Linked DNA regions of Notamacropus eugenii. The protein of the gene in region 1 interacts with the protein of each later gene in a pairwise test. Links are inferred from orthologs where the notes say so. Each region holds a gene or a part of one and is shown on either strand. Other genes may lie near its edges.

The links. The genes of interacting proteins can lie anywhere in the genome.
Region 2: the proteins of FXR2 (region 1) and MBIP interact in binary tests that used the Homo sapiens proteins (3 or more experiments, as listed by UniProt). The two-hybrid records come from large-scale screens. The link is inferred for Notamacropus eugenii from reciprocal best matches to the Homo sapiens genes FXR2 and MBIP.

What each region holds. Positions count from the first base shown.
Region 1 is NC_092873.1:78,374,515-78,381,690, forward strand, and holds the start of FXR2 (RNA-binding protein FXR2), read left to right. Parts: upstream 1-4,156; 5' UTR 4,157-4,257; coding exon 4,258-4,338; intron 4,339-4,780; exon of another isoform or gene 4,781-4,870; intron 4,871-5,336; exon of another isoform or gene 5,337-5,389; intron 5,390-7,176. UniProt on the Homo sapiens protein: mRNA-binding protein that acts as a regulator of mRNAs translation and/or stability, and which is required for adult hippocampal neurogenesis. Specifically binds to AU-rich elements (AREs) in the 3'-UTR of target mRNAs.
Region 2 is NC_092872.1:329,005,452-329,012,745, forward strand, and holds the start of MBIP (MAP3K12-binding inhibitory protein 1), read right to left. Parts: upstream 3,015-7,294; 5' UTR 2,944-3,014; coding exon 2,818-2,943; intron 1-2,817. UniProt on the Homo sapiens protein: Inhibits the MAP3K12 activity to induce the activation of the JNK/SAPK pathway. Component of the ATAC complex, a complex with histone acetyltransferase activity on histones H3 and H4.

The sequences.
Region 1 (7,176 bases):
ACTAGCCCTCCCAGGAATGGGGCTGCTAGGTGGTGCAGTGGATAGAGTACTAGTGCAGGAGTTCTATCTCACCTCAGACACTTGACACTCACTAGGTGTGTGAACTTGGGCCAGTCACTTACCCCCAATTGCCTCATCCTGGGTCATCTCCAGTCATCCTGATGAATATCTGGTCACTGTTTTCAGATGGCTCTGGAGGAGAAGTGAGGTTGGTGACCTGAACAACCCTTCCTCACTCAGAACAAAGTCAAGTACAAGTCATATCATTATTTCTCTGATAGCATGGTCTTCTTTGGCAACAAAGGACAAACACACATACCTCCCTCCCAATATTTTCATCTTTCTAATCCTTCCTTGATCATTGATTGAGGAACCATTTCTCCAGATCTTCCTCATTCTCTGAATCAGCTTGGGGCTCCAAATTCAGAGATCTGTCAGAATCAGTGGCTAATTACTTACTTTCTGTTGCTCTCATTTTAACTGGACACCCTGGTCTGTCTGCCCTCCCACTTCTTTTTCTTATTACCACTCCCTTTCTCTACTAAACACAGGAGTGCATTTTCTAGATTTTTTTAAAATAAGGGTAAATAAGACATACAAATTCAGAAATAACATATATGAAGGAATTAGAAATTAGAGTAAAAAGAAAACTTTTTAGTACCAGACTGGATAGGATGGAACTTATACACTATTCTCCCTCTAGATTTCTTCAAGCCTTTTTTGGCCTTTAGTAATTTCTTCTAGGCTACAGAATCTAAAGATCCCTTTCCCATTAGTCCCAAAATGAAAATGTTCTGACTCCAAACAATCCCATGGATTTAGTTATTTATCCATCTGAAGAACACTGGCCTTTTCTATTTGTATCCTTAGTGGCAAAGAAAACTTCAGCCTTCTGACTGAAAGGTAGATTTTGAAAAATGTAATCCCTAATCCAACTTGATTCCTTCATCCTCTCAACCAAGGGAAGATGAGAAAATGGAATTTGCACATTATCCACTTAAAAATCCCAATAATTTAGTCTGACACAGGTTACTCTCAAAGTTAAAAAAAATATCCATTTTTTTATTAAAGGATAGAAGAAAAATTTTTCAGAAAAAATAAGCAGGCTTTGGTTGCCTCCCAGATAAGGATGACAGGAACCACTGCTAATAAACAGGGATAAAGGGCAAAAGCCCACATCTCCACATCTACTCCCCATCCCCCAAACATTGCTAAATAACTCCTTGAGGTTTATTGGAATTTCAAGATAATCTGTATGGCCCAAGCACTAACTTTCATTTCTATGATGGGAGTTGAAATGAATTCATTTATCCTAAACCAAGTGAAGGATAGAGGGGTTTTCTTTGGTGGAGTGGGAGTGGCATGGAGTGAAGGGAAAAAAGATATTGACAGTTGCTTGAGTGTCAACCAGGTATGGTCACTATGTTTAACAAGAGCTAAGTGTGTTTATTAGCCCCTCAGCACTTTGATTAGGAGTAGTCTCACCAAAGAGCTAAAACATTCCTTGTATTGAAGAAGATATTGGGTGCTTCAACTGCACAGAATCCCTTCTTAAATAATATCATAAGTTGTCTGAGGAATTTTCTCATCAGTGCAAGAGTCTGTGGGAATATTCTTTTGTGTAAGAGCATTGAAAAATTATTCAACTGCATGAGTTTCCTTTATTATTTACATTGCTATTACTACCTATTAAAATAGTTTGCTATTTAATGAATGACTCTAGCTCGGTAGATAAGGCACTGGATTGAAGTTTGAACCCTATTTTCACTTGTGATTACACAAAATACTCTATACACTTGGAACTGGGGGAATCAAATTCCAGAGTAGAGTGGGACTTTTAAATACTGAAATAGATACGTAGTTGGCAGGCCAGAGCTGAAAAGGCTGGTCAAGTGGCTCCGGTCTGAGATTAGGATGAAATGTGGCATTTTGTAGTCCATCTGACAGATATTTCAAGAGCAGGAGAAGGATATTTAGGGAAGATGTAATGTTGATTCAGCTGAGCATAACTTTCCTAAACCAAGTTGGTCAAGCTGGTCCAAGGTCAGAACAGAGGGAGGGGTTGAAGCTCCTACATCTGGCCCTTTTTGTTCTTAGGCAACCAGGAAGCTACTGAAAGTGTCCTGAGCCTTAGTCCCAGAGCCAATTAAGTCTCCAGGACAGTTTTCAGTGCCTTTTAAGGAAAAGAACTTTGCCCCCCCACCCCCACCCCCACCCCCACCCCTTCCTGCTTCAGCTCACATGGGGAGAAGGCAAAGGGTATCTTTGTTGGATATAAGAAGCATAAGGGACTGAAAAGTATTGAGTCAAAAGATTTGGAGCCTGGAAGAATTGAGATTACCCCAGATCAAGAGGGGTATTTGGGAGGGGGGAATCACTTTTGGAGGAAATCCCAGTAAATCTCCTAGCACTTTAAATTCCTATGCACTTATTTCCTATTTTGCATTTTACCTATCTGTGCACAGATCTAAACCCCTCTAAAAGACTAAGTTCCTCGAGGGTAGGACAAAGTGTTAATCATCTCATCTCCATTTCTTACCGCAGTGCCACAGGATAGAAGGGATTCCTAAAGGTAATTCAGTTCACTATTCATGAAGAGCCTACTGTGTGCCAGGCACTGCACTAAACCCTGGGGGAGCAAAAGCTTTTTTTTCCGGAAAACTTTGAAAAGTTGCTGCCCTCAAGGGCTGTATTTGCAGAAGGAAAGAATGTAATCTCAGCCAGTCCTTATTTTTAGACACTCCCCAGGGTGGCTGATCTGTTGGCCAGCCTGGCCCCGGCCTTTCGCTCCTTCCTTTCCAGCAGCATCACGTTACTGCCTCCTCATTGTCCCTGAACATCCTGTTCTTTCTTCTCTCCCTTTGACTCGCCCCGGCCCTCCAGCACGGACTGGCTCGCTCCGGCCAGCAGGGGCTCTTTTTTTGTCTGGGGAAAGGGACGAAGGCTGCACCTGTGACTTCATTGTTGTGGGGAACTCCCGGTGAGGAAACTTCCTCTGCCAATTCTGACAGTCAGAGAATTGCCCCACAAAGTATTTAGGTGGTTTCCCCCGACCGCAGGGCTAGTGACTAGAAGACCTATGTCCTTGCCTTCGGGGCTTTTACACCCCTCTGCCTCTCATTTGATGATTTAATTCCACCATTTAAATTACGGATTGCTTTAAAATGCATTTTAACAAGCGCATTTCGTGTATGTGTGTGTTCTACACGCCTTTAATGTCTCAGCGAACAGGAAGCAAGCGTGCGCTGGACGGACGGACATCCAGCCAGTGCCGGCACTTAGAGGCTACATACGTCCCGACTCCGCTCCCACTAATGTCCCCCCCCCCCCCCCAACGCTATGAAAGGTTTAAAGCCCCAAGGATGAAGGAGCACCGCAGCGGCCGCTCCGCCGGCGCACGCGCACGAAGCGGACACCTCGACCTGACTCCTTCCACCTTTTCCCCGGCTCCCTTCCCTCGCATCTACGAGTCTGCGCAGCTGGGCAGACAAAAGAGAAATTGGGGGAGGAGGGAAAGTGGGAGAAAGTGACATAAGCAGCCGCTGCGCCCTTCGACACGCCCTTGGAAGGGGTGGTCCCTTCTGCGCAAGCGTAGCTGTGTGCGTGCGTGCGTGCGTGCGGTGTGTTGTATTAGGGGTTAGGGTTAGGGTTAAAGGCTCCAGCTCGGGTGCGCGCGCTAACCACTCACGGTCACGCGCTCCTCGACGCCTGCGCCGTGTTTTTTCTCCTGTCTCTGGGCGCGGGGCGGGAGGGTGCCGAGCGCGCCTGCGCAGTAGGTAGTAGCGCCGGCGGCGGCGGCGGTGGCGGCGGCGGTAGGGGGAGGGAAGGAAGGGGGGAGGGAGGTGGAGGAGAAGGAGGAGGAGGAGGAGGAGGAGGAGGAGGAGGCGGAGGCGGAGGCGGCGGCGGCGGCGGCGGCAGCGGCGGAGGTGGTGGTGGCGGCGGCTTCCCGGGATTGAGGCAGTGGCTGAGGAGACGGCGGCGGCGGCCATTTCCCTCACAGTGGCGGAGACCGAGGCGGCGGCGGACGGGGAGCGGCCCGGCCCCGGCCCCCTGCTCGTCGGCTGTGGCGGGGCCGGTGTGGGGCCTGCCCGGCTCCCGCCCCCTGCGGCGTCCCCGCCAGCTCCTCCTCCTCCCCCGGGGGGGCGACGCAGGGGGCCCGGCCCGGCCCGAGCTCAGGCCGCCGCCGCCGGAGGAGGAGCAGGAGGAGCAGTCGCCGCCGCAGCAGCAGCAGCAGCCGCCGCAGGCGGCGGCCCCTCCATGGGCGGCCTAGCTGTCGGGAGGGACATGGAGCCGGGGCTGCCGGTCGAGGTGCGTGGCTCCAACGGGGCCTTCTACAAGGTGAGGCGGCGCGCCGGCCGGGGACACCTGCCCGCCTGCGGGCCGGGGAAGCGCGGGGCTGTCGGGACTCCTCCTCGGCCACCCCCCGACCCACCTCCAGGAGACACTCCCTGGGCCTGTCCCCGTCCCTTCCCCCCGTGGCTGCTCCAGGCCCCTCGCCTGCTTCTTCCCTCCTTCCCGGGGCAGGGACCTCAGCGCAGGAACACCCTTGCTGCTCATTGCACCGCTGACCTTCCCTTCTGTAGTCACCTAGGGCTGCTGAGACTTGAATTGTGTCTTTGTGTAACCCACCCCCACCCCCATCTTCGGTCCATTATCTCAGGCAGAGCCCCTCCCACTTCGTATTCCCCAACTGAGGGAGAAAAAAGCTGAACCCCAGCTCTAACAGCTGTAGCACCCCCTGACCTCTAGGAAGTCTGTGCTCTGCCATTCATTTTGCTTTCTCATTCGTCGATGGCTTCATTATACAAGTCCTCTACCTCCATACCTCTACTTTCCACGCAAGACCTACCTAGAATATTGCTTGATCCGGGTAAGGACCAGTACATGTATGCACTTTTACATTACCGATGTCATTCCCCAAACGGAGCCTGTGTTCTCCTCCAAGAGGACCTCAAGTGGACCCCTCTCCTAGGAGTGGATACATCCCCTGTTATTTTTCCCTAAAGCATTTCTGTTTCTAGAATGTTCCCTAGTAACTTTCCCTATTTGGGCATTCTCCTACAGCTCTTTTTTTAGGAGTCCCTTTGGAGGACCCTTTTCTGTCCCCAAGCTCCCCTCTGAAGGCATTTCTGCAGAGGTTCCCTCCCTTTATCCACACCCTTTTCTACCCACCCCTAATTTGGTTTCTGGGGTATCCTTTCATAGGTAAAATAACTGAAGTTGAAGACTCACTGCTTCCCAAAGATTTTCTTCTCCTTAATTCTCTAATATGGGGGGGCTGGGAGGGGACATCCTTGTAACTTATACCCTGCCAACGTTTTTGTTCTACCTCCCAGGCCTGAGTTTGAACATATATTGTAGCCTATCCTACATCTGGAAGAACTAGAATGTAAGTTCCTTGAGGGCAGATTGTCATTTTTGTCTTTATCCAGTTCCTAGCAAATAGTTACTTAATAAATGTTTGTTGATATTTCTCCTCTATCACCACATGTGGGGAGAGATTCTGCCCTCCCTTCCCCCTTGTCCTTTACCCAACAGACCCTTATGCCTCTGAGCCATTCTGCTCCCTTTATTCCCCAAAGCATATTTCGCATTATGACTAAAAAGGATTTGGTGTTTGCCATGGTGTGTACTCGCATTTCTCTCATCAGAGAGTTTTCATCTCTGGTAACCTGGGTCTCAGCTCACTCCCTAATCTAAGTAGTTAACTATGTAAACTTCGCCTAACCAATCTGAATCCTTATTTCCAGAAAACTTCCTTAAATCTTTCTTCAGCAAAAAGAGGTTCCTTAGCTGATTCTTTGTCATTTCTTTCCTAAATCCTGGGCTTCCCTTTCAATTCTGGACCATGTGATAACACAGAGTCTTCATAATAGCACCTCAGAGTAGACTCTTGTTTCCTCTTGAACTCACCCCTTAAGCAGCATTCCTATTTGACCTGGCAGAAATTCCTCCATTCCTGATTCCCTTCTGTGTCTGGTAGCATATGCTTGTTCTTAACCTCTTTTCCCTTTATGTTTCCTTGTTTCTTCGTTGAAATGTGCTTCCAGATACCTACTTCATCATGTGGGCCCCTTGCCCTCCTTTTGTATTGTATTCTCTCTAAATCCCCAATCATAAATTCTTCAGGTTCTAGGAGAAAGGATTTGAGATTAGGTCAGAGGTAGTCTATAAAATGTTACATTTAGTCTTCTCTCATTCCTTTGTTACCTGGTATCTAGGGACAGCTTCTAGACAAGATTGGTCTCTAGTAAGAATCATCTAGATGAGAGAAAAGAGGGTTCTCCCCCCCCACTTCACTCCACCCCTTTACATATACACAGGTAGCTGAAACTTCTTTTAAAACCTCAGCTTCTCCAATATTTTGTAAGATCTTTCTCCTCAGCCAGTGTGGATGTGGTGAGGATTTGATTTGAGGTGAGGATGCTTTGGACTTGGAAAGTAGCAGTTTGTTGGGAAACAGGTCATATGGATTTCTGTACTCTTTGACATTTATTTAAATCTCATTTCCCCCATTTTGAAGACTAGAATACCTCAACAATCTATTTACTTGTCTCTCTCAATGCCAGCGTGTTTTTTTTCCCATTACCATTCTCTGTTGAACTCCTTACCCTTTTGTATTTGAATACTTTGCTACTCTGTTTTTAGAACCAGTTTTCATGACTCAGCAGATCAGGGTAGTTAGTAAGGAGGGGCCATGTTGTTTGAGAATTATATCCCCTGACAAGGTTTCTTTCCCTCTCTTCTGGATATGGGAATCCCATTGTATATCCTTTTCTATCTAAGAGACACCCCTTAACAGGATCTTAGTCACTGTAGCTCTAACTCTCCAGCTTTCCTCCAAGAACTTACGTATTTTCCCACTTCAGTCTTAGGCTATTTCAAATTCCATCTCCAGTCCGCTTCTAAGACAGAAACATAGTACCTGATCTGCACCAGAGCTTTTTCCCAGTTGATTCTCCACTCTTTAGACAGCCTGGCTCCTCCCTGACAGCTCCCCAGAGCTCATCATATTGATTCCACACTTAGTTCAGAAACTGATCAGCAGAGTCCACTGCGGCTTTGAGCTCCCTAGCTCAAGAGGTTCACCAACCTCAGCTTCCCTGATAGGAAGGATTTTGTGCCACCATGCTTCCCCATATTATTCGGAAGGACCAGACCAACCTTCAATTTCCA
Region 2 (7,294 bases), on another chromosome or scaffold:
CTGTAACATCAATTTTAAAAAATGTAACTGGTTTGGATTATTACTTATGCAACAAATTAATTTTTATAAAAGACAATATAATAAATCCTTCATAAGTTTATATGCAGGAGATAAAATGTAAAAAAAAAAACCCACTGCAAAACAATTCAAAATGGTTCTGCTACAAATGGAAGAACATCATGATATAAAAGACACTAGTTATTTAGATTGTGGTTCTAACTTTTAAAAGTCTATTCCAGAGATATAGAAAGAAATATGAGGCAATGACGTGTGAATTAATCTCAATGTGTATTTTCTAAAATGTCATATAAAGAGATTTCAGATAACAAACCTTTAATATATTCACTGAATTGATGTATTTGTACATCTTACCAAAAAATCTGATTACAGTAAATATAAGCACCTTACTTGGTAATGAATCCATGAAGTCCAAACAATAAATTTTTGTAGAGAATGAAGGTTATATTAATTTTATTATAAAAGCATTAAGATTTCAATTCAATGTAATTGTTTTCATTTTTAAAAAAAGAATCTAAAAAAACCCCATGTAATCCTTCACTCAAATACAAGGGTAATTTTAATTTCAACTAAAAAAAAATGACTATTCACTGTAACCTTAATTAACAAGATTAATTTAAACATTTGGTACTATAGAAAATGTAAGAATTGACTGACTCCAAAACCTTTATTAGCCTTTCATTGATAGGACCCCCCCTTTTTTTTTGCCACTGCAGAGAAATTAATAAAAGCACTAAAATATTCAAGTTCAAAACAAACGAAAAATAGTCAAAGGGCTAATGGGTACAAACTATAAAGTTAAAAATTAAGAATATTCACGACTTGAGTTAGCATGTACATTAACACATTTAAAACTGTGTTCCCTAACAAACAATACCAGTAATTAGGAACATCATAAACACTAACCTTAAGCAAAGATGACCATGCAAATTTTATGATTTAGCTTCTTGCAAAAGCAAATAATGACCTAAAGTGATACTATAAGTACTTTTGCTTTTATTCAAATCTCTAAATAATAACTCAAAAACACAGACAATTATCAATGTGGTCAGTATATTTTGATTAACCATCTAACTGACCTAATTTTTGATTGATATCATCTTCTTCGTGTCAGATACAAGTAATAATATTTACACATTTGACAGTGACGTATAATATGTAAATTTTACTCAAGGGACAATACAGGAACCGAGATTCTGGAAAACACATAAAAATATAATCTGCAGGAAATATGCTTTCGAAAATATCTCTGGAATGTGAAAACTTTTACATAATTCACTGCACTAACTTTCATATAATTTACTGCATGAACTTTCTTTTAAAATTCCACCTATCATACGAAAAAATTATCTCATTTGCAAATAACAGAATTTTGTGTAATTTCATATTTATAATAACCCATCTTAATTCACAATATTACGCTCTAACTGCTTTGTTTTTATCTTTTGTTTAAAAGAAGTTAGAATGGCTAAGGCCTAAAATGTTAACGTTTAAAATAAAATTCTTTTTTAAGTCATATCGTTTCAAAAACTTAAAAAGTATAATTATCAAGTACTTGAAAAAAACAGTCTGACTACGCATGCTGCTTAATGATTTCCACAAATAACTGCTCGAAATTTGGCTGAATATCACAAACTCTGGATGGATAAAAAGAAAAGTGAATTTTTTTCTTACCCCACACAAACACACTTTGCAAAAATAATCAGAAGAACAAAGCTACCATCACAAATCGGAAGCTTGGATTATTTTATGAACTTAGTTTATCACACTGATTATTAAGGCAACTGTTATCGGGTCCAGTACTTGGGAGACTTCTATTTGTTTTTAACAGCTAAAATGTTTTCTATGCTAATGAAAGGTCACTAACCAAAAAAAAAGACTGATGTCCAATTTCTATTTAGGTCATATAATTATAATTTAAATACGCCAAGATCTCCTAGTAGGAATTGAACAGATGGTTACAAGAAGTGCTTAATTTTTTTCTTTTAAACATGAGTTTTAAAAATGTAAATAAATAACCGGCTTTTAATTCTGCATTTTTAAGTAAAAATGATTGCCAAACACCGCGACTAAGTGGTCTTCCATTACCCAATTCGTCTTAACTACACCCAAGAGGCATCAAAAGTATCCTAGTCTCAAGATGAGTAAATAAGTTATTATTTTTTTTAATAAACGCTGTATGACTCCCTAGGCAAAAAAAAACGTAAACAAAAGTAGTATTCATTATATCAAATCACAAAAATAGCGGGGGAACAACCTTTCCCCAGAGAGGAGGCTTCTGCTGCCTCCGGGTTCCTTCTCCTCACAGAGGCTTAAGCGAAGCTTCTTCCACCTCAGACGCCCGATCCTGAGCTCCCCGCTCCGGCCGGCCCCACCGAGGGGGCTTAGCCGCCTTCCTCCTCTCCAGGCCTGGTTCTCTTGCCCACTTCTTCGCTCGCTGCCTTTCTTTTTCTCTTTTTTTGGGGGGGTGGGGGGAGAAGAAAGGGGAATCCCCCTAAGTCACCCCTCAAATGAGTGTTAAGAGAAATCTGAGCAGGTTTGTAGCAGCAGAGAAGTCCCGGTGGAACCCTAATGGTCTTGTAGTTGGGGCGGGAATCCCCAAAGCGCCCCCAAGCTCTGAGCCTCGGTCAACCCCCATTTCTGGTTAAAGGAGAGGAGAAAGGGAGAAGAGAGAAGGGAGGGAAAGAGGAGAGGGGGAGGAGAGGGAGAGAGGGAGAGAGGGAGAGAGGGAGAGAGGGAGAAAGAGAGAGAGAGAGAGAGAGAGAGAGAGAGAGAGAGAGAGAGACCGCCGTCATTTACCTGCCCTGTCAGGGTGCGAAGGGAGTGGAGGAAACCAACGAGCACCTCGCGGTAGAAGCTGAAGCTCTGATCCGGGTTCTTGTCAACGCCTCGGGGGTGCCCCGATAGCCCCACAGGAGCAGCCATGACACCTCCCCAACTGCTGCGGAGGTTCCTGTTGAGCCCCGCCCCCTTTCGCGCTTCAGTTTGCGTCGCGTTATAATGACGTCATCAGAAGCGGTCCTTACATTAAGCGCGGTGTTCTGGGGCTCCACCCCTTTCCATCTGACTGGCAAACAGGAGGACCAATCAGGTGATTGGAAGAAGCAGCTTTTCCAGCCCACTCCTGCCCAGTCTTCTTCCTTGCAGTCATTCTGTGCTTGGACTGTGAGAGGCAGAAGTCTAAACTGTAGTACCTTTTGTGGTATCTTACGTGTTAAAAGTTATGGGGTATTGTTTTTGTCTTAGTTTACTAAAACATTCGGACTGAATTGGCTCATGTTTTTACGTGGCAAGTGATGCAACTTGTTGATGGGAGGTGGAGATACACTCGGTTCCCTTTTTCTGCGACATATGCACTGGCCTCTTCCTTAAGGGACAGCAATTCCTGATTGGTCAGAGGAGGAGAATCTTGAAGATGATTGGCTACGGAGTCAGGGGGAGTAACAGCTTGTACTTTCCCTTGGAATTCTTCTGGGCATCCTCTTCTGGCCACAGATGCTCTGGTGTACTCCAAGTAATTTGCAGGGACTGCACATTTTGCCCTGAGGGGAGTATGTTAGAATATGGGGCACTTTTCACATTTTGCCCTTTTCAGATTTTGAGTATCATTTATATAGGAAAGGGATGGTAGTTTTGCCGTCTTTTAACACAATCAGTGACCTTGCATCTTGGGCCTAGATTGCTTCTGTACCTTTTCTCCATTCACTCATTTATTTTGGGATGTGAGAGAAACTTGAGATGAAAACTGGCAAATCCAGAACATTAGAACAGTTTTTGTAAGTATCCATAAAATAACCAGGTTATGGTCTGGCTTGGAGAAATGAAAATTTAGGAATCATATTGGATAGTAAATGTAAGCTAAGGTGTGTCTCTTAGCAAGGACACCAGCACTAAAAAGGGGAGGGAAAGTAATCCCTTTCCCTGCTTTGCTCAAAGACTGAGGAAGAGAAATTTCTGGAAAAGTCTGTAAAACAAAAATCAAACGGTTCTTTCTGACCACTTAAGAATTATTGAATTAACCATGAATAGCCATTGGATAGCAATGATAAAAAAAAAAAAAATAAAGAGCCAAGACATCATATTTCAAGAAATTATCAAGGAAAACTGTCCAGATATCTTGCAACCAGAGGACAAACTAGCAATCAAAAGAATTCACTAATCGCTTCCTTAAAGAGATCCCTAAATAAAACAATCCCATAATTATTATAGTCAAATTTGAAAACTCTGGGATGAAGGAGAAAATACTGAAAGCAACCAGAAAGAAACAATTCAAATACCATGGATCCACAGTTAGATTACCACTATAAAGGAGTAGAAAGCTTGAGCTATGATATTGTAGAAGGCAAAGGAGCTAGGATTACAATGAAAATATCCTATCCAGCAAAACTGACTACAACTTCAAGGGGAAAACGTGGACATTTAATAGGATACTTTTAGTTATTCCTGATGAAAAGACCAGAGCTACATTGAAATTTGACATTTGACATTTGAATTTGACATTCAAACACAAGACTCAAGAGAGGCATAAAAAAGTAAACACAAGTGAGAAATCATGAAGAACTTAAGAAAGTTAGACTGTTTACATTCCTAAATAGGAAGATGATACACATTACTCCTAAGAACTTTATCATCATTAGGGTAATTAGAAGGAGTTTACTTAGATTACTTAGATAGTGGGTGTGAGTCTTTTATATTGAAATTTCTCAAAAGAAATAAGAGAAAGGGGAAAGCAGAAGAATGTGAAAAAATGGTCTCACATAAAAGAAGTGCACATGGAAGAATTCTTTTGCAATAGAAGTAGAAATGGAGTGGGGTGTAGATTAGACCTCACTTTCATTTGAACTATTTCAAAGAGGAAAGAATACACATGCACATGCACACATACACACACACACACACACACACACACACACACACACACAAAATCAGTTGGGTATAGAAATCCATATTACCCAAAAGGGAAGTAGGAAGAAAGACGATGAGAAAAGAGGGGAGAGAAAGTGAAGAGGAGGGTAAATTAAAGGAGTCATTGGTCAGAAACAAAAATGACTTTTGAGAAGGGCTAGGGTTAAAAAAAGTAAAAATAGAAAAAAGGATGGAGCAATATACACAGTGAACAATCATAACTATGAATGTCAATGGGATGAACTATTCATAAAATGCAAATGGATAGTAGAATGGATTAGAAACCAGAAACCAATAGTATATTGTTTACAAAAGACACACTTCAAAAAAAAGACCTATAGAATTTAAATATAAGGGCTGGAGCAGAATCTTTTATGCTTCAGCAGAAGTGAAAAAAGCAGGGGTATCATGACAAACTCAGACAAAACAAGCAATAACAGACAATTAAAATAGACAATAAGGGAAGCTACATTTTACTAAAAGTTACCATAGCTAAATATATATGAACCAAATGGCATAGCATCCATAATCATAAAGGAAAAGTTAAATGAGTTACAGGAGGAAATTGAGAGTAAAATTACATAATGGGGACCTCTGTTTACCTCTCTGAAAAATATAAGCACAAACTAAAGTAAGGATATGAATAAAATTTTATAAAAGTTTAGGTATGATAGACTGCTGTTCATGGCATCTTCACAAAATTAACCATCTATGAGGGCATAACAGCATCACAAACACATGCAGAAAAGCAAAAATGCTAAGTGCTACCCTATTCATTTTATGATGCAAGAAAATTACATTCAACAAAGGACCTTGGAAGTAGAAATTAAAAATTAGCTGGCAATCAAATATCTAATCCTAAAGGATGAGTGGATCAAAGATCAAATTTATAGGAAGAATCTATGAATTCATTAAAGAGAATGACAATGATGAGACAACATACCAAAATGTGTGTGATGCAGTCAAATAGTATTTAGTTGAAATTTTCATGTTTAAATGCTTACCTGAATAAAAGAGAGAAGAATCAGTTCAAGGAATTAGGCATGCAACTAAAAAAATAGAAAAAGAACAAATTAAAAATCCCCAATTAAATACAAATATAGAAATTTAAAAAAAAACAGAGGAGTGATTAATAAAGTAACAAAATTGAACTAATTAATAAAATTAGGAGCTGGCTTTATGAAAAAAACAATAAAATAGATAAACCATTGCCTAATTTGATAAAAAAGAAGAAATCAAATTAGCTTCTAAAATGAAAAGAGTGGTTATAAAACCAATGAAGGTGACTAAAACACTTATTAGGAGCTACTAGTCATATAACAATTAAACTGACAATCTAAATGGAATGGGTAGAAGTTGTATAAAATATGCATTTCTCAGATTAATCTAAGAGTCTATAGAATATTAAAATAACTCATATCATAGAAAATAAATCTAACAAGTCATGAATGAATTCCATAAGAAAAAATTCTTAGGACTCACAGGTGAATTCTACCAAACACTTTAAAAAAATTAATTCAATACCATGTTACTTGAAAAAAGATGGTAAAAAAAAAGAGTCCTACCAAATTCCTTCTATTATACAAATATGGATTTCATACTTAAACCAAGAAGAGCAAAAAATAAAGAAAACTAGGGACAATTTCCCTAATACATAGTGATGCAAAGTTTTAAACAAAAGACTATAGCAATATATCAGAAAGATCACATACTATGGTCAGAATGGATTTATGCCAGGACTATAGGGCTAGTTCAATATTAACAAAATGATAAACATTGATCATATCAGTAACAATATACAAAAACCACATGATTGCCTCACTAGATGCAGAAAAAGTTTTTGACAAAATACAACTCCTCCTTCCTATCAAAACCACTAAAAAGCATAGGGAAAAAAATGGAGCTTTCCTTAGAATGATAGGTAGTATTCATCTAAATCCAAAAAAAGCATTACCTGTAATGGAGATAAACTAGCAGCCTCTCTAGTAAGATTGAGGGTGAAGTAAAGGAAGTCCATAATCACCATCATTATTCAATATTGTACTAGAAATCCTAGTTGTAGCAATAAAATGAGAAAAATAAATTGAAGGAATAAGAATAAACAATGGAGAAATAAAACTCTTGATGATATACTTATGGAATCTAAGAGGATAAACTAAAAAAAAAGCAGTTGAAACAATTAAAAACTTTAGCAAAGTTATAGGATTAAAAATAAACCCTCACAAATCATTAACAATTCCATGTGTTACCAACCAAACTCAGTAGAAAGAGAAATTCCATTTAAAATAACTGCATACAATATAAAATACTTTGGAGTCTACTTGCCAAGACATACCCAGGGACTATTTGAACACAATTACAAAACACTTCA